Linked DNA regions of Drosophila melanogaster. The protein of the gene in region 2 interacts with the protein of the main gene of each other region in a biochemical or structural test. Each region holds a gene or a part of one and is shown on either strand. Other genes may lie near its edges. The genes, in order: pyd and Nrg.

Evidence for each region.
Region 1: the proteins of Nrg (region 2) and pyd interact in far-western blotting, tested with the Drosophila melanogaster proteins (one study listed by BioGRID).

The regions. Positions count from the first base shown.
Region 1 is NT_033777.3:8,858,557-8,869,112, reverse strand, and holds the start of pyd (polychaetoid), read left to right. Parts: upstream 1-4,764; 5' UTR 4,765-4,871; intron 4,872-5,579; exon of another isoform or gene 5,580-5,611; intron 5,612-6,107; exon of another isoform or gene 6,108-6,119; 5' UTR 6,120-6,330; coding exon 6,331-7,050; intron 7,051-7,160; exon of another isoform or gene 7,161-7,233; intron 7,234-10,556.
Region 2 is NC_004354.4:8,513,548-8,524,442, reverse strand, and holds the start of Nrg (neuroglian), read right to left. Parts: upstream 6,956-10,895; 5' UTR 6,934-6,955; exon of another isoform or gene 6,045-6,933; intron 1-6,044. Other genes in the region: CG33181 (uncharacterized protein), read right to left, coding at 8,517-8,720, 8,831-8,979, 9,049-9,254, 9,772-9,919, 9,990-10,136, 10,208-10,532. UniProt on the Drosophila melanogaster protein: Essential for septate junctions. Septate junctions, which are the equivalent of vertebrate tight junctions, are characterized by regular arrays of transverse structures that span the intermembrane space and form a physical barrier to diffusion.

The DNA.
Region 1 (10,556 bases), on a different chromosome or scaffold from region 2:
GGATTGAGGAGAAGCCTCAGTATTTGAACAATATTTGTATTTCGGGAGAGCCTCGCTCTTGGGTTCTTAAGATTAGGTAGCGTTGAAAGAGGGCAGTCAAATCTGCTTAGGTCAGGCTTTAGGATGTTTACAAGAACGGCTGCGCTGCCAAAGATAAACGAATGCTGCGCAGCTGGGATACGTTATGGAAAATTACTAGAGTGCATTACTGATTTCTTTGAAATAATGGAAGTGGCTGGTTTGGACCACCCAAATACGTCACTATATACATATATATATATATATATGTACTATGTATATATATGGACAGAATGGTCGATCGATGCCATTCCATTTGGTTCCATTTGCTGCCTGCATTGTTAATTTAACGCTCTCGGGCAATTGGATTTAAGTTCCATGTACTCGTAGCCAGCACGCCCGTTTTAGAACTGATTTAATTGCATTTGTGCGGCGGTCATGCAATTGTTATCAAAACACCGCCGCACACACACACACTCACACCCCTCCAGGGGAGAAATACTCGAAATGCGGGCTAATCCACACCCAACTTTAATTAACAAGTGTAATTGATAGAACTTTCAATCGAACCGGGTGCACTGCGCCCTTTCCTTTCATTAATCTCACCAATTGCAAGAAAAGTGAGCAGACAAAGGCAGATGTCAATAAAAGCCGCAGACGTCGTCTTGGCCCAAATGACACACATTTTCGGACATGGAAAATGGGAAAATAAATGCGTGACAAGTGAAAATGTTGCGTTTTCTTGGTGGGGCACCCAAGCAAGACACCACCACTTCATCTGTGTTTATTTTTAATAACACCAATAACAACAGAAACAGTTTACTTTGTTTTTTTTTTTTTGGTTTTTCTATAAATTTTTTCTGAAGAGTCATGGCAATTTAAGACAAGCTGCAGAAAGCAAAGGATAGAAAGAGAGAGGGACTAATTTTTAAGCGGCTGACATTTATTTTGCATGACATTTCACACACGAAGACCCACGGGCATATGGAAACTTTGGGTGTGCACCTCGTTATCCAGGGAATTGTCTCCACAGAGAATGTTTCGGTTCTTGTAATACCCTTCCAAAAAGTATATATACTCGGACCAAAACTTGGTTGCCACAACAGTTAAATTTGAGAAAATTTGCTAAAAACAAAAATATTATGGTATAAAGATAACCTACCATATTTCTTGTTTATATTTATAGTTTTAATATGAAAATGGTATATATTATTATGTACATACTAACATGGGATTTTAAGGTGTTGTTTTGTGTCATTCGATTTTTATAAAATCAATTTTCTTTATATTTTTTTTTTTACATTAAATATGAAAGGGTATTTCGCAGTCTTTATTCTTTTATACAAGCTAATATTTTCCTCTGATTTGTTTCTTTTCCCTTTGTCCGACGCTCTTCGTTGATGCTTTTATTTTGGTCCCCCGATATTGAGCAATTTAGTCAAACAGAATGTTTGTTCTTATTTGGCGCACTCTCTTCCGCTTGACGTCTTCCCCCCACCCCCTTCTCCACTGCCGCAGCACAAATAACTCACTCTCCCAATTTTCTCAGTGTTTTCGACGATTTTCGAGTCTGTCGCGCATGTTTCCGTCCGAGAGGGTTGTATTTGTTGGTGGATGCCCCACGGCGGCTACGAGATTTCCGTGGCTCTATTCGAAATCAGTTCGGAAATTGCCGGCGGTCAGCACATTTACTTTGAACAGCCGCGGCGTGAAGTGAAAAGTTCTATTCGAAAAGAAAAATCACGTTTTATTTGAACTTTTCTATCTTAGTTTATATCTAAGAACATTTTCGTGTGTGCGCTCGTGTTTCGTTATTAACAATTGTAAATGATATAGTACAGAAAAATTGGGATATGTTTTGAAAATTACTGGGAAATTCGCTGACCCAATCAAAGTATTTTTAGAATGATTTACGCGAGCAAATCAGTGAGCAGTGTGGACAATGGACTCGCCATAAACAAATAAGCAATGAAAAATATTTAAATATTGAAATAAAAAGTAACAGAAATAAATATAAATAATAAAAAATGAAATAATAAGGATAATTGCTTTCAACAATTATCTATAAATAATTTGAAACATTTTTTAGAATTGGCGACCAGCCATGCAAATGATTTGCTCCCCTTTTTCTGACTGATTTCACCATTTCCATAAACACAGGCGCCTCATATGCTAATTTTCCTTTGCGCAATCAAAAATTATACATCATTTTATACTACGCGCCTATCCATCCGGCTGTTTTCCCCCATTTCTCTCGTTTGTCATTAATCACGTTTAATATGCAATTCTATGCTGTAAAGAGGAAAATAATTGCAACAATAAAATAAATATAAACAACAGCGGGAGTGGCAACCCAAATCCGTTGTAATCTTCATATCCGGAGTGTCGTTGTCTGTGAATTCTGCAATTGGACTCTCCAGTTACACATTTTCCCCTCGGGGATCACTTTTTGCATCATCATTATGGATGGATGGAGCCTCTTTATAGAGAGTTTCTGTATAATGTGGAGTTCGTTTTTTAGTGGGGGGTTGGTTTGGTATATAGGAAGTGCGGGTTAAACGGGAGTCTGCCACTCAGTCACTTCCTTGTTTGACATTTTAATTGCAATGTTGATGGATTTCACTGTTGACACTTTCCTTTTTCACCCCATTAATGAATAATGAACGTTTAGTCTGCAAATTTACTAGCTAGCCAGGCCGCAAAGTTAAATTTGCCTTTCGTGCATACATACAGATATAGTAAATTAACAATAAGATTCCTAAAAGAACATTTTACTTAACAATTATGAAATACTTTCGGTTAAATGCCCTTTTAGCTTTCCCACTGATTTCTTTTGTGTTTCGGACCGTAGTAAATTGTCTGTAAAAAGTCGTGGCCAAGTTAAGTATCATAACTAGAACGTCTTCCGTTCAACACCTCATTAGGCGAACTTTTCAACAGAGGCCGAAAACGACTTTTAATTGTGCCCACTGGACATACACAACCCCTGAAATTTTTTTCTGGCGGGAAGCACAATTGTCCAGAGGGTGAACATGATAAATGCCTTAAATAATGTTCTTTTGCCACCAGAAAATATCCAAGACATGACCAAACTCTAGTGGAGCAATTAAGTGCCAGACCAACTGAAAATGTCATTTAACATTTGTCAGGTAAAAATAAAAGTAAAGCACTCAAATAAAAAACAGCAACAAGTTGCAGACTAATTAAATAATTGAAACATTTTACGTGGGAGTCGCAAAGACACAATGACAAAGAACTAAATGTGTGTGCAAACGAAAAGCCAAACAAATAAAGACATAAGAAAAACGATTCTACAATGTCGCAATTCGACTATGCCTGCTATACGGTGCCCGAGTGTTCCACGGATGATGATGATGATAATGACGATGAGCTGGGCAGTAATGTGACCCTGGAGAACAAGGATCATTCGGATTGCACCCTGGAATCGGATGCTACGACCACCACATCTTCACTGGAGCGTCATATGTATAGGAATCGGTATCGCTCTAATAGAAGTTTCGGACCACAGAGGGTTTCCATGCCCATTCTCAGATCCAGTCGATCCAGGGAGATGACGCCCCAGTTGGGCATGTATCATGAGGGACCGAATCGAGATCCCCAATGGGGTTACTTTGTACCCCTGTCGCCCAACTTCTTCTTTAGTCCACCGATGCAGAGGAGGCGTTATAGGTAGATTTACATTGTGTTTAGTACTTAAAACATATTTAGTTCTATTATTATCAAGTAAAACATACATTGAAAATTCTAATAAATTAAATTTAAATTTCCTTTCAGGGAAAAGGAAAACGATCGCAATCGTCGCGCTGTTAGTTATGGCGGTGACGCCACCTCCTCCCCCCATTCGGCCACCATACCCCGCGCCGCCCCCCGTCGGGTGGCCTTGATGAAGGATCCACCGCCACCGCCGCCACCCAAGCCGCAATTGGGTTCCAAAGCGGATTCTGTATCGCATTTGGCCAGCAAATATCCCCAATCCGAGTACAATCTCATACAGAAAATCGACTCGAACAGCACACTCACTGCTCCGGCGCAATATCAACCGCAGAATTTCTACGCTAATACTGGCACCATATCCTCTACGAATGGCTACGGATCGCTGTTATGTCACGCCAGTTCGACGACCAGTCCGCTGGCGGTCCGGAAGAGGGACAAACTGCTTCATCGCTTCAGCGATGCCGCCACCTTGGGCCGGAAGCTCAAGAAGAAGAAGAACACGAATCGCACCTGCAGATCCATGACGGAGGCCATTGAGATGCTGGCCGATCCCGTCATCGAAGATGAATTCTTTGTAAGTACAATGATTTATGCAAAGAAAATATACGTATTTCCATGGAATTAGAAACATAAAAATCTTTTGGAGCCTCTTAAAACAAAATAGAGTTTCTCAAACCATTTTTTGTCATAACATCATAGAACTTGATTGATATGTATTAAATATTTGGGTGTGGTTTTAAAATAGCTCGAGGTTCATCGTTCAAACCTTTTCATTCTTGGTTTTTTCCCCCAAACATCTGCCCCATTTCACAATTTACGCTTTTAAGGGGTGTATTTGTTTGGCTTAAGCCCCTCATTTCGTCTCATTTCACTTGGGCTCTGCTCAGCTCAGTCCAAGCTTTATCGCAATCACTTTTGTTCTTGTATTCTTCTCCGGCTGGAAACGCTATCCATTGGAAAATGTTCTCGTGTCCGATAGGCTCTTCAAATTCATTGAATTCATTTCAGTTTAGTTCGTATTTGAGCCTCGTCGCGATTGAAACGAAAAGAAATCCACACCAAAAATAAACGATTTTCGTAGGCGGAAGTGTTAGAAAGACAAACCTCAAACAGATAAGGTGGAAATAATAGGAAGTTGACAGATTGAAACTGAGAAGGGCCATTGAATTAAGTGGAGTGACAGAAGTGATAAAAGAAAGGGAAAATTTGAATATATTAAACAAGAAAAATGTGCACTTAGACAGAGGGATTTATATTTGGCCACATCTTTTCCACTTAGTTTTTAACTATAAATTTGGATATTATATTTATGATCCCTGTAAGATAACCTTGAAAGTATTTTCCGACGGCTGAACTCAATTCGCAATCATTAAGTGAAAAAGGGGCGTCAATAATACTATCAAAAGTTCAATAGACCGCACATTCATTGACCCAATCGGGGTACCTTTGAGTTTTTGCAATGTTTTGAGCTTGTAAATTGGTATTGGGGTCGATCAGGGCTAAGCCACAATTATTTGCCAAATCAGTCTTTAATTAACGAACTCAGAGTTGACAGATTAGCATGGCTCTCTTTCTCTCTATTCTCCATTCTGTCTCATCCATATGACAGCTCGGTTGACAGTTCAGGAAGACGAATGTGTCTAACAAAACAAGTGACTCGCAAACTGTGTCAATACTTTGGGTTCGAAAAACAATTTACCTTGCGCAAAGACGACGGCTCGAAAGGTGAACCCCGGCTAATTGGATTGGCAGTGCGTGCCTTCCAGCAAACAACAGAAAAGCAGAAAAAGTTGTTGCAATAAAATCAAACAATTGCAGTGGAAAATCGAACGTGCAGTGTGCCGAACGTGTTGGTCGCGTAAAACCCTTAAAAAATCGGTTATTTTCAATATAGTTTATAGGGTTTATCTCTTTTTTATTGGCCTCTCTCAGGCGTTTTTAAAAACACAAATGTTGCCTGCTTTTGTGCGCTGTTAAACAAGAACGCCATGAAAAATAATTCAACCATATCTATAGCATACTTTTACGCGGTCGAAAATTACATTTGAAAAAGAACAAAAAGTCTCTAAATTAACTCAACACCCTTGAAACACTAATCTGGTTTTATTTTTTTTTTTTTTATATATTTCCAAAGGAAAAAAATATAATTTTGCGTGATCTAATTTTACATGTAATCATAAAACATTCTATCGTCAGTCTAAAGACAGTGTAGATTTTATGTAAAATTAGCCAAGTGAACCTTAAAATTTTTGTTGTTTTTGTTGATTTATTTTATGGTTTTAGTTTGCAACAAATTGAATTTTTTAAAGAACAAAACATAAGTTTCTCACAAAAAAAAAATAATACTTTGGTTTCGACCGTGACAGGACTCGAACCTGCAATCTTCGGATCCGAAGTCCGACGCCTTATCCATTAGGCCACACGGTCGCTTGTTCCAAGCACGCTTAAACTCGAAAACATTTGATACGTGTGCAAGCAACCTACAGCACAAGGGTGGATTTTCTGTAGAGCAAACATTCTGTTATCGCGGGGTGCAAATACAAACGAACAAAAACGAAAATTAAATACAACAAAAATATGAAGCCCAGCACGCGACGTCGCAGTTTCAAAACGAAACCCCCCAAATCGAATGTATATAACCCACTCGTTCGCTATCGCCCGACAGCCTATGTCCGAAATGGAATTATTGGCGGCGCCGAGGGTCCCGGCTCGAGTGGAGTGTACCAAATCGCGGATAGGGTCTATACCACCAGCAAGATGTTTCTACGCGATGGCTATATGTACCCGCGTCAACCGGGTCAGACCATGGATCCCCGTTTCCCCCTCGAGTTGCACGAATTCCCTCAGCAATTCGGCGCCACTGGCCTGCAGTTGGTTAGTGCACCCAAGGTTCATATAGCCGGCGAATATCTGGCCAGTGAACAACAGCAGCAGCAGCAACAACAGCAGCAGCAGCATCAACAGGTGCAGGAGCAACAACAATTGGGCAGAAGAAAGGCTGCGGCAGCCGCCGAAATAAATTTGGCAAATCAGGTTTACTGGCTGGGCAAGCAAAAGACCAGATCCCGATCGCGTAGCAATAGTGTGGGCAATCGGAGCATAACCAGCTGCATGGGCGGCGGTGGAGGGGGTGGCGAAAAGGAAAGGGAACGCGGCGGGGATCGAGATCGCCCCTATATACGCAACGTTGACGATCTTCTCCAGGCACTGGGCAAAAGGGATGGGGGGGATAACAACAGCAATCTGCTCGAAACTGCATCGACGCACTCCTCATCGCAGCGAAGGCGCTTCAAGAAGGTGAGATACAGACTTACAAAGTGTGATAAATGCAACCAAATGCCCTCAAATCTCATTTTCATAAAATAAATAAAAAAAATTCTGGATACAAAAGAAAAAAGTTAATTTTACGACCGTGACAGGACTCGAACCTGCAATCTTCGGATCCGAAGTCCGACGCCTTATCCATTAGGCCACACGGTCAGTTGGCAACTCTGAAAAATATGACTAACATAAAGACGGGCTTTACAAATAATTTAGTTCACCGTTAACAGTTGCTAAATCGTTTTTTATCCGAATACCTCATTTGAGATTATAAATCTAGAACTCTACGTTAAAAACAGTAAATATAAAAATCTTTATGACAGGACTTAAAGTTGGTTATTTTACCCCTCAGATAGAATATATATATTTAAGGGAAATTCCTTGATTTCCTAATATTAAAATTCTTTACGCCATTGAATACCACCACCTCAGCCATCAATCACCGCATTGCATTGCTCTTGGGCAACATCGAAATTTGTCAACTCGCGTTGCAACACTTTCAATTGTCGCTGTGGCACCTTTTTTTTCCATTTGGCCACCTTAATTACATTCGTGGATGTATGTATGGAGGTAGTGTGGCTCGTTCCGCCAGGTCATCATCAGTCATCACTCGTGGCTTGTCTGCAGTGTCCAGAATGGAGGCAGTGAAGCCTACCGCCCCTGGGGTGCGTCTGCGCAAAAATTAAAATTAATGATGTTCAAAATTTCGCTTGGGGCCATTAATGGAAATGGGATGAAGAAATAAACGAGGTGAGAGATTGGCAAAGGCGAAATGGAGATGAAAGGAAGGGGAGAGCTGGTGGTCAGACGGTAGCTGCTAATTTGGCATCCTCGAACACACCTGCCCCCAAAATGATATTCACTGCGGCCTTTCAATTTCTCAAAAAGTTTCAAAGTCAAAGCTCGGCTGCGGTTCCTTTTACCTCTTTCATTTCAGGCCCTTTTTCTTTTGCTGACCATTTTATGCATTTTTAGCCGCTGCTGCTCAGGCTTCCATGACGATATAGACTTTTTTTGTCGGTTTGATTTTATTCTTTTGTTTTTCTGTTTCGTTTACGCTATCGTCATTAGTGGATATATATATATGTATATAGTTTTTGTTTTAGCTTAATTCCACATTCGCCTGGGGCACAATTTATGCGCTTCTGTTTCGAATCCAGATTCGGGCTCTGAGGAGCACTTGAGTTTGAGAAATTGGTTTCGTTGATTGTGCCTTTAAACATGGTCAAAACGGTGGGCGAATGTTATTAAGAAGAGTACTTACAAAATAGTTGAAAAGCTAACAAAAAAATCATAAAATATTTTATAATTTTATGTAGATAGAAAATTGAATACAAAATTTAAGTAATTTTTGGTTCATAAACAATTTTCAATCCACACAAACCCAATGTACTTCGCCTCCGCCCATGACTCAACTTCCGACGTGTGTATAAATCCATTTAGAACTCGGATGAAAAAAAATAAATTGCTGTTGGAAACCCAAGCGAAATGAACATAAATTTATCTCTTTAAATTCTTGCTTTAGACTCGGGTCGAATGGGTTAAGACATTTAAGCCAAATTCTGGGGGAAAATGACTTCAGTGTGACTTTCATATGCAAAGTAAACAAAAAGAAAAAACAATTGCGATGCAGCTCAAGTCTGGACGGGGACTTCCCCTTTGGCTGCAGTGGCTCGTAAATCGAATGAAGCACACGACTTCGTCACCCATCCCCCATTCCCCCTCCACTTTTGTGGTATCTTTCTGTGGTTCCGCTGGGGAAGCGAAGAAAGTTGCGCCAGTAACTTGTTTAAAACATTTTACAGATTTTCCTTTGCCGACAGTTTTTTGTTTTAATTTCGTATTCCAAGGCAGTAGTCACGTGCCAAGATATTTTTGTAGACGAATTGCTGCAGCTTATTGAAAATGCAAGGCAGAATAAACTCAATCAAGAAAAAAGGGAAAAAACTGTGTGATATCTTAATAAAGTCTGGCAGCTTATTAGTTATAAGTGGAAATATTACTATAAGAAACCATGCGGGGCAGAAAATATTATTATTAAAAAGTTAATGAGGACAAGCAAGAAACCAAAATTATTTACCCAAGAGTCAACATGTACAAATAAATTATGTGTTGAGGTAAATAAAACAGTCACAGAATATTATTAAATCTAAAAAATATAGTGTAAGCCTTCGGACACAATTATTGCACAATTTTTCAAAGGTAAAATACCTCCCTGGTTTAAATATATTTGGCCAAAAATTATGGGCCATGAAGTTTTATGCCTGCGCTGCAATAAAATAATACAAATTTGATTACACTTACCCGAATACATCCTACATTTCAATACTATTACCTAATATTACTCAATCATGTCACATTTGGTATCTACCATCACTTTCTTTTTATTAAAATTAATGACCTGATTTTACAATTTGTAAATTAATATTAAAAATGTTGTTCACAAACTAAACAATAGTTTCGAAATGTGTAGTTGCAGTGTAGCTCGCTCTCGTGTACAAATCAAATTATCCAATTGCAAGACTATTGTGCATAAGCCCCGATTTGCCACTCCTCCCGCCCCAAAGTTCGTAATGACCGGCAGTAGCCACCAGGTGGCGTAGTCACCAACATCTGTTTTTTCGTAATAGCAATAATTGTGTCAAAATATAAAAAAAAAAATGACAACGAAAAAACTTATACAGACACAGCGACAATTTGAAATGTTGCACGTGCTCAAGCGCTCAAAGAAATTACAAATAAAGAAAAAAACAACAATACGGGGAGATAAAGTAATAGCAGTGCATTAAGTTTTTTAAATGCTTCACATAAGCCAGGTCATTAACGAAGTCCCGTCTAGCAGATAAAAATCAGCGCCTCAAAAAAGCAGTTTGAGGTAATTGAATTTGGGAAATAAAAACAAAAAACATCTAAACGAGACGGACGTTATCGGCCAGAACTAATCAAAAACTTAATTGAAATACGTTTACTGGCTTCCCATTTTCCGTAACTCATTATTGCAACGTATATTTGTATATACAATAGTTGTAGCATGACCTAGGTTAATACTCAGCTATTTGACCCATTGGTCTTTGAGTTTTCCACTTTTCCCCTATCATTCCTCTGCACTTTTTGTCTACTCATTCCAGCCACTTGAGCAAACAGAAAACTTATTTTCTTTTGTTATTGTTAGGCTAGGACATGGGGACTATTATAATCAAACATCAAGCACTTTTTGAAATGCACTTAAAGAGGTTAATGATAAATAATTTCAGCTAAAACTATCTTATAGATGAAAAGTCCAAGAAAAAATGTTTGTACTTCTGTGTTTCCCTTTTTTTAGTGTAGTACTTTGTAGTTTTTCTTCGCCCAGTCAATTCCTTTTCCTTCAAAGCTTATGATTATGGAATTCACTGGCATACCTGCAAATCGAAGACATATACATGTATGTATATTTATGTGGAATAACGCCCTTGCAGCCGTTGACTCATTGCATTTTCATT
Region 2 (10,895 bases):
ATTAAACTCAGCTTGTTGTGGTGACTAATTTCCCCGCAGTGTGGAAAATTCATTTTTCTTTTTTTTTTTATTGGCGCATTTATGCTGCATAGCAGTGTAATTTCTCGCCCTCATGCCAATGCATTAAATGCCAATAAATTCTATAAATTAAGAATGGGCATTGCTACCAGCATTTCGACATAACTCAATCGAGAAAACTGTTGACTTTCCGTGGGCAATTAAGAATGGAAAGTGAAAATTCTCCGGGGTGCCATGGGGCGAAAATAGTAAATAGTAAGTGCAAAATTGCTGACGATTTTAGGTAGCTGGCAAACAAAAACAGGATACTACTTACTATAGATGCGTATATCCTTAATATCCCACACACACACATCACAATCGCATATCGTATATGGACGTACATATTTGTATTTTTGCAACCCTCGGGAAAACAGCTGCAGCAAGCACAGTTATTTGACACGCGACCAAACACCAATATGCAGCCATCCAAAAGTATCTACAAAGTCGCAGAGATACGGATACACACGCCGTTAACCCCTGATGTGATCCAGAAATCCAGAGCCACCCCAATCAATGTGAATGAAATGAAATCCGCAACGCTTTTGTCTTTTTCCCTTACTCTGTTTTTTTTTTGTGTGCGGTCAGCATGGAAAATGAATGAATGAATGAATGAGTGATTGAGTGACTGATAGAAGGACGGCTGACCAAACATTATCTCATTTTTCTATCTATAAGTTTCGAATTTCACCAAAAAGTTATCTCATTGTAAACATAAAAACTTTGTTTAATTTATCCACTATTAACGTAAAACAAATATCTATATTTACACCAGCTTGATCACTTAATTAAACCGCTTTTTAACCCACTAAAAAAGTAAACTTTTCCGCAATCAATCAATCACGCAAACACAAATTTCCCCCGCACCGCGCTCTCCCACAACGAGCATTTCCACCGCGTGCGGAAAATTCAAAGGAAGTGAGCAAAGCTGACGCAAAACTTTTAACCAAATGGCTGGAAGGAAAGTGGGTTCGGGGTGGCGCATTTTCCACTGGGAGTTGCTGTCAGGTTTCCGGACCACAGACGAGAAGTTCAATGCTCCTCTGGCGGTGGCAACTTTGCTCCATTCGCCGGCAACATAATGCAATTTATGAAACGGGAGCTCTCGTCGCCCCACCAACCCCACTAATATCCACACTATATCCACAACATACGCTAGTATCCTCAGTTTAACCACATTTAAAGCGGGCCAACTAACGCACTAAACGGAAGTTTAGTAGCCCCACAACACGAACAAAAAACTAAAAAAAAAAAAAAAGAAGTATAAGATATTCATCAAACTAATGGATTTCTTTAGAATTCCCAAAGGTCAAAGAACAGCAAATAAATATTACAGATAGATATTACAAAATATTCCAGTTACTTTTTAGCTTACATAAGTGCTCATTATGTGGGTCAGTCGTCTGTTAATTGCCATAATTATGTAGATACTTCTACACTTAGCAGTTAGCCACGCCTAAACTACACACATACATACATGCATACATATATGTATGATTCAAACTGATATAACTGTCAAAGATCAATTGTACAATTCCATTTCCCACCAAATCTGAAGAATAAACAAAATAAGAGCGGCAAAGAGAGAGGCTCAAAAAAAAAAAAAGCACACACACACACACACAAGAAAAAAGTGGCAGCTTGTCATACAAATTTTTTCTCACTGGGTGTGTCCGATAATACATAAATAAACAAAAAAAAAAAAAATATACCTGAAAAAAAATGAACAAACACACAAATCGGGAAAGATATAAGCTTGAATTGGCTTTGAGTCACAATTTGAGGCTGGAAAAAAGCTCCATAAAACGACGAAGCTTTATTTGTTGTTTGTTTAAGACTGGAAACAAACTAAATGATAAATTCGATCAAATACGAGTAAATGCCGGCAAAAAAAAATTGTTTGCATTTGCAGAAAATGAAACGCGATCGCCTGTAGATCGCAAATATACAAGTAAATAATGATAAAGTTTTCAAGATAATTTCACTTTATTGCGTTGTCTTGTTGATTGATCAATTAAATCGCAACAAAAGTTCAATAATCTGTAATTGTACATTACGTATTGCAAATGCAGTAAGAGGAGCAAGTTAACCCACTTAAAAGTAGTTTGCAATGATCGTCTGAATGGTAATTCAATTGAGATATTTTTATTTCGAAATACCAGTTGCCTTTCAAACTCAGCGTTTCTTTCAGTTTAATTAAAAAAAAGTGCCATGCCCCTTTTTCTACGCCTGCTCGCATTTAACCCAAATGACAAGAGGGTCCCCAAGTAGCCCCATTGGGCATGGAAAATGGTGAAAATGGTGAAAATGCAAACAAGAAGTTGGCGGTGAGTGCACAAGAACTAAAACATAGCGAAAAGCTAATGCAAATTGCACTCGCTACTCCTGTCTGTCTCCCTTTTTCCCATATTTTTTTTTTTCTACTTCTTTTTTTCGTCTATTTGCAACTGTGCCACATGGGGCTTTTCTCTGGCGTCTTTTCCCGCTTTCCATCCGATTTCCCAGGCCGAAAACACTTAAAAGTGCAATGCACTTTTAGACGCCGGCAGAGCAGCGGTACTGGCACCTAGAGCAGCCGCAAAAACGGCTGATAAAACAAGCGAAACTAACAAACTAACAAAATGCACTTGGCAAAAAAATGGGCGCAGAACATAGAAGCCAATTATTAGTCAGGAAATCAAAAATGCAATACTACAAGCACTTATTTTTTAAATGCTATAATATAGTAGTGTTCTGCGTTATAATTGGTATATCAGCTAAAGTTAATATGAATTTCAAATATAAGCAACTTTAATTACAAGATTAATTATTTAAAACAAGCACATTTTTTTTTCTCAGTTTCGAAAAAAAGCTTGGCAACGAAAAATGATAAATAAAAGTAAAACAACAGACATCTAAGCGCGATAACCGCGAAAACCGCGAACCGGCATCGCATCCCCTTAACCCACAAGAGTACAGGCACACTTTGCCGCCTTAACCCTTATGCTTTCAACAAAAGTTTAGCTAGAAAGAAAATTGAGATGATTGATTCGGAATTCTATGAAGTTTTTTCGGTGTTTATCTTTATTCAAATCAAAGCACATCCGCTCAAAAAATTGTTAAGCTTATATCAAATGCTACAAATATATTATCAATTTAAGTAATAATACATTTTCCTACATTTTTATACGAAGAATTGGTAATCTTGATGAGCGTTTCAAATAACTAAATGTTGGTTCATTTACCAGAAAGCATGGTATGCCATGCAAATAGCAAATCGGATATGATATATGTATATAGTTTGTTTAAATAGGGAAAAAAAAAATGAAATGTGGGGAAACTAACCAAGAAACAGGCCAATTCTCGAAGGCAATGAATGATGACATCAGCACGCCGTTTTTGTGTGTTTTCTGTTTGTTTGCGGAGTAGCGAAGTGAAAAAAAGCTGTATTTCCTGGCTTTTACTATTGATTTTGTGAACGAGAAAGGATTTTTTTTTTTTTTGGATTTTTTCATTTTTGTTGTTCTTTTTTGGCCTGAGGCCTGCGACATGCGACATGCAACATTTGAAATGACATCATAAAAGGATTTTGTTCGTGGCCAACGGACGGAATTGGATTAAAAACTGGTCGCAGAGCGGCAGAAATGTCGAATGAAAATGACGCAATCGCCATCAGCCACAGCTGTTCAAGAGATGAAAAGACTAAAAATGAGATCCGAGAAGACCGTCCACATGGTAGAGCTTCGAAAAAGATACAGATCGCGGCGATGATATCAATATATATCCAACACACACACACACACATTGCCGCACAAAAACGCATAAATTTATAGGTACATATATACATATGTATGTATTTATCCACTTGGAACGCACAAATTTGTGTACGAGTATATATGCCTGCTGATTCCTACCAGCTCCCCCAACTTTTTGGGGCGTTCCATTTTAATTATAACAAATGCCAGGCAATTGCACGCCCAAAAAAAATATGAAAATATCAACATAAATCTCTCATAAATTGCGCGAGAGTTCGCAGATAGATATCGATGATATCATATTATGTATGTATGTATGTACATTCAGCAGCCAACAGAAGTGACAAAACCAATATAGTGCCTCAAGTGTGAATCAAGAATTGATCGACTCAAAAGTAGATAACACACAAATTACAAAAGCCCCAGGAGAATTGATAAACGAAAAGTTCGCCTCTGGCGTTCAAGAACAATTCAATTACGAGGAAAATCACCCAAGATCATACACATGTATGTAAGTGGCAATATGGAATATATTTGAGGTTTAGGAATCCAAGATATAGGAAAAAGCTCCCAAGTAACCAAGTAAATCCAAGAACATATAAATATATGTAAGAGAGTAATCAGTGATCTGCGTATGATTTATTGTTGACAAATTGAAAATTTATATGCGAAAAATCACCAAATAGCAAATAGGCGAAGCATGACCAAAAAAAAAACAGTAAATAGTAGATGCTTTGTACCTATTCAAATGGCCTCGAGTGTGAGTGTCCATTTCAGTACCTACTCAATTAATGAACTGCTTTAATTATGCTTGACTTTTCCAATTGTTAATGGCATAAATTATAGGGGATGTTTCTCTATCGATAAAGCTTCAATGTTTCGTTTCAAGTTCTTTTCTTATCGCTCTCATTGAAAACGATCCCAGTTACTGGAGGTTAGCCTCATTGAAAGGGGACTTGAATTTATAAATAATAGTAATAGTCTTTCACATGCAACATGGAAATATTCTCCGATCACCTTGGCCTTGATTTTTTCAAAGTCAAGAATGGCCGAAAATTATCATCACACTGTGCTTGAAATAAAAAAAATAGCTGCGATTACATATCAGCAAAGTGACTTTGGATTTGGTTTCGTTTGCTTAAACATTTATTCTTGAATTAACTTTTGAAATTTGCACTTAAATTTTTTTTTTTTTTTTTTTTTGCTGTTGTGGTCGCCGGTTGATAAAACTTGTTATCAAAAACTCGTACAATTTTAGCAAATATTTTTTATTTAAATACTTTTAATATGTTGTAAGCATGTGAAGTAATATCTTCATCACTTATTGTATCTTGTATCTTTAGCCGGACATCCCCACACCAAAAGGCCAACAAGGGCATTTATTAACTAGCTAATTTTTAATGCTGCTTCAGTTGACGCAGTTTCAGTTTCTGTTATTTCTTTATTTATTTATTATTATTTTTCTTGATACGTTTTTGGGTCGATTCGGGGCGGAGGCATTGCTGTCGACGGCGTTGCTGGGGCGGAACGAACTGCCATATACATATGCATATATGTACATACATATATATAAACCTATTCACAACGATGACGTCGTCGCGATGACCGCATGGTCAAAAGCAAAAACCACAAAAAATAGCGGAGAGAAGTACAAAATGTATATATTTACCTAACTAAACTCAATTCAGTTTGCAATTGAGAATCATTGAAAAAAATTGAAAATCAGTTGTTTCAGATATTGCTAAATTTAAAGAATTTTAAAGTAAATGAATTAAATGGCTTAGACGAAAATAAAACTGAAAACGCTAAAAGATTGTTTGTTTTTTGTATCTTCTAAATTGTAAATGGAAAACCCGTTATCTCTGTACTTGAGGTATGAAATCGAAAGAATTTAGAGAGAAATCGCTAGGAACGTGGAAAGTACATGTGAAAATGCGAGAAGAGCGCCAAAGTGGCGACGAACGAGGGAGAGGGCAAAAAACGTAAAAAGAGCTCAAAAAGTGATCTCTTGAAGCTGCCCCACCTTACACACACACACACACACACACACCAAAACAAGAACACCGACACACGCACACACACATGCCGTAATTCGCGCTCATTGTCTGCGCTCTTCTTCTTCGTCACCATCTTCGCTAGCTGCTAGAAAACCTGTTTTAGAGCCACCAATAAAAATGAAAAGAAAAAAACAGTGTGTGTGGAGTTAAGATTACGCCCTTGGACGAAAACTTGGTTCAAATCCATAATGCTTACCTTTAAGTCATAGAAGCCAGCAGCAGCAACAACAACTAGATGACGGGATTCTGCCAAAAAGCGCTCAAGAATCCAAAACTCAAAACTCAGGTAAGAGAGAGAGAGGAAGGCGGGAGAGGGCGACGCGCCAAAGCGTGAGAGACGGAGCGAGTGAGAAGGAGCCACTCAATAACTCGCTTACGAAGTTTTGGCTTCGTGGTAAATACATATGTACATACAAAAACAACTAGAATACAACAAAAAAATAGGAAAAATAAAAAAAACACAGAGCTTTAAATGTTGAGGTTTTGAGCGCTCTTGTACAGTTAATGGCGCCCATTGTTGCTGTTGTTGTTGCCTTTGCGTGGCTTTTGGCGTCCTCCGATTTGCTCTCCTTCTCCTTTTTTGTTGTCATCGTGTGCTTCGTACAATATTGCATTGCCATTCATTTTTAATCAATTGCATTAATGAAAACCATCAACTATTTAACTTTTTGGGTGCGGCACAGTGTGCAAAGTAAAAAAACAACAAAAAATGAAGGTGGAAGTAACGCAAGGAGACAAACAATTTTGTTTTGGGTTTTTTTTTCTTCCTTTCGTTTGGCAACCAATTTTTCTTATTTTTTTAAAACAATTCCCAGACAAGCACACCCGCACACTCACACACACGAACGCACACTAAAAAAAAAAAGCGAAGGCAGAGCTAAAACCAATTTATATATTGGCGGAGTAAATAAGACAATTTTCTACGCGGCGTCAGTTCGTTTTTTTTCCTCTTTTTTTTACTATTTTATTTTCAATTCCCGGCGCTCACTAACACTAACACCGACGCATATACACACACACTGGGACAGTTATGTTATACACGCGGAATTTTTAGGAAAAAATAAATAAAGTTAGTGCTTAAACACCCAAATAACGATATATATTCGCTCGGCTGCGAATATGTATCGCGGTGTTTTCGGCGTAGTTTTCAGTAAATACGATTTGGCGGACATACACAACCAGCAGCGCGGATATTTTCTTTTCGAATGCGGAGAGGAACTGCCAGCCTCGCGAACGGTAACAATCGGACGCACGGAATGCGGGGTGGCATCACCGACAAACTGGTTTACGGTTATCGATATTTATCTAAGATATACCAACTATCGATTGATTACCAGGGATGCGATATACTTTTAAATAACCTACGCTCTTATCGATATTTGTAACTCTTTAGAGACTCTTATCGATAGTGTGTTCAATGCTACCCATAACATGAATGATATATCGATTGATGAACTGGGCGCCAAAATATTCAAATTCAAATGGTTTTACGTTTTAATTACAATTCTGAGCAACGCTAAACAGAAACATAATTAATTATAAAGATATTGAAACTATTTGGATTTCTTTCGTTTATTCCAACATATTTATTTAATTGGTATTATTGTTTCAAGTATTACACAATATTGATGCCTTTTCTCTTACGTTTTCAATTAATTTATTATTATTATTATTATTATTGTTATAACTAAATATCGATCACATTTCCTTTCAGAACGTCTCTCATTCTCATCATTTTAATCCCTGTTCACTTTTTGATGCGGAGCAGAACGCACAAACTCCTGCATACACACTTCCTTTCCATCGTCCTAACTAATTTGCAATCATATATATCGCAATTCGCGGTTTAATTATTGCTTCTCCTATTTCTTTTTATCGCTCGCGCTCTGCGGGGGGGAAATGGAAAGGGGGATGGAAGGGGACAATGAGAAAAGTAATATTAAAAAAAAAAACAAAATCGAAAGCGAGACTTGCAAAAATCAAATCTGCGCTAATACTACATAATTGGTTAAGTGTAAATTAAGGATTTAAGTAGGCTCTATTTACGTCTACGTTTTGCAATTATTATTTGGCTGTTTAAGGTAATCAAGAGCGAAAGAATCAAGAACCAAAGTGGGAGAAAACAATTTGCGTGGCGTAAATGTTCTTTTAGTAATTCTTCGTCGTCTTTTTCTCCCTATACAATGTATATACTTTTCTTTAAATGTGTATAATATTGTCCTAAAAGCCTTAAAAAATATGACGCAGCGGCCTGCAATTCTACATATGCCTATATATAGCCTGTATATATACCATAATCGCACATAATTTCTCGGTAGAGCAAAAGGAACACAAGCAAAAGCCATGTGAAGAAGGACACAATGTAAAATGATATCATATCTCTTAATATCTCTCGCCTCGAGCATTCGACATGCATCATTAAAAGTTAGTTCGTTTTATAGCGGTTTCCGTTTCCGTTTCCGTTTGGTGTTGGGAGGTTTTTTTTTTTTGTCTTGGATTTAAGATTTTTGGGTGGCTGGAGGAGGCTGGCTATACGTACAATTTCTATGTTTTCTGTATATTTGTTTTAGGTACATAACAGTTCTTTATATTGTATGGTGTGTGTGTATGTGTGGCTGCCTTGTTTATCGTTCTACGTTACTCCGTACTCCCTATTTCGTTAGCTACATTAGTTAGGTGCGTTTAGTGTCTCCATTCCGGATCCGTACTGCATGCCCACCGACATGGTGAAGAGCCACGCCACCGCCAGCAGACTGCTGCCGAGCAGATCGCCCAAGGCCGTCAGGTAGGGTATGGCCGAGTTATCCGGATCGATCTTCCACTTCCACATCGCGTGCACAATGATGTGGGCAATATACAGCAGCAGCATCACCTGAAACGATCGCAGCACATTAGCGTTGTGTTTTCGGAGGGTTTATAATGACATATGTATGTATGTATGTACATACATCAGCAAACGGCCTTAGCATATTCAAAACTCACCTGAACCAAACTGGCGGTCAAATAGGAAAGCACAAACACCCAGGTGACCGTCGAGGTGCTATAGTTTATATAGTCAGCAGCAAAGATGAACAGAACATTGCCGGGTATGGACATGGCAATAAGTATCCTCGCTGTCTTCGCATAGGGAACTGTATGAAGAGCACAAATGAATAATAACCCGATTCCATTACCAATTGCCAATTCTGATTGAGACCTACCTCCTTTGAAGAGCGCCCGCCAAGGCCACTCGAAGATCTGCGTGTGCGGTGGTATAATCCCGATAATTGAGCTCTGGTGCAGCATTGTGGATATCTTGCTGGCCTGCACCGATACCAGATTGCCGCCGATTCCGTTGATGATCGGTTGAAACACTACGAATCCATTAAACACCTCGACGGCGGCATCCAACACAAGGCCACCCAGACTGTAATGAGATGAGGGAATGATTCAGTAATCGGATCAGTTAAATACAGCAGTCAGTAGTTGCACTTAAACCCATTGTTGACTTCATTTCATTTGATTTTAATTCTGATTCGAACCAACTCAAGTGTGTTTGTCTTTTGAAGTTCTATTGCCGTAAATTTCCCAGTCATGGCGAGTAATTACGCCCGGGAATTCAAATCCTAATGCTAAATTCTAATTATAAGAGCACTTGACCTGTCGCCAAACACGAGTCAGGGACATCAAACCGTGCGAATGATTCCCATGGTCTCGGCTACTCATTACTCCCCACAAAAAACAATCGCCTGGACATGATTGGGCATTAAATGAAACGATCTGATATATCTAAATATAGCGGCCAGCTTGACGTCTTTTCTGCTTATCATGGTACCCCAATTTTATTGTCCCTAAGATTCGAGAGTTCGATCCAATCGAATCGAATTGATTTGCCAGAGTGCGCAGTTCGTAGTTCCCAGTTATTATTAGTACGCAGTACGTACCCACTTATGCAGAGGGCCGAGAGGACGGGAACCCATCCGCTCTTTAGCACCGGCCGCGTGTACTCGTTCCTCAGCACGATCATCACCCACATGGGCAACAGCACCAGGTAGCAGGTGACCACGATGAATGTGATCCACAGGTGCGTTTCTGTGCGAAAATGAACAGCCATTAGTTAGATATACACAAATGGATAATATAATATAATATAGACACATACTGATATGATCGTACAGCAGCGAGGCGATAAAGGAGAGCAAACTGATGGACACCACGTCACCAATGGAGGCGGCCAACGGTGTGGCCAGGTTGTCCGGATTGAGGCGGTACTTCTGCGAGAACAGGATTACAGCCACCAAAACGAAGTCTAAAATTAAAGAAACGCCATTAATATAATTGAGAGTGTATGGAATGGAAAAGTCGCAGGTGCAATCCTACCCAGCACAAAGCACGACGAGGTGGCCGTGAACATGGCCGAGGCAGTCAGCAGCATCATGTTCTCGAAATAGAAGTCACCGGTCATGGCCGCGCCCACGCTCACCGCAAACATGGCCACCAGAAAGGAGGCCACCGTCGCCTGGACCTGCACCAGTGCTATGTTCCCCACTATCATCCGTATTACGCCCTGTCTGCTGGTCATGTTGCCCAGATTCACTTGCGTGGAGAGACGCGATGCCAGGCACATGTCCAGGTTGCCCTTGAGACCCAAAAGTGCCGGCACCAGGATGAACAGCTCGCTTACGTTCTTGAAGACATACCATTTCTGGTTAAATTGGGCGAGAGAAAAGGGAATATAAGAAATTAATGAACGGATAGATCGGATTACTTACTTGGTTACAACAACTTATTAACAAGTAATTATATTTTCGTTGAGAACCTTATTAAAAATACACCTTCTCTAATTCCCAATTAAGTTCTAAAGCAAATATTTGAGCATATTTATGGCTCAGCAATAAATCTCCTCCAGATTTAACCAATATTTTCAGTTCGTTTCGGGCATTGGCCGCCTGTAACTGGCTGAGTCTCCAGTTTGGCCCAGAAGTTTTACCATCAATTAGCGGGCAAATTAAACGTTAACTATTTAACACGCATGTACTATGCATATCTGCATGTGTATACTTCACAG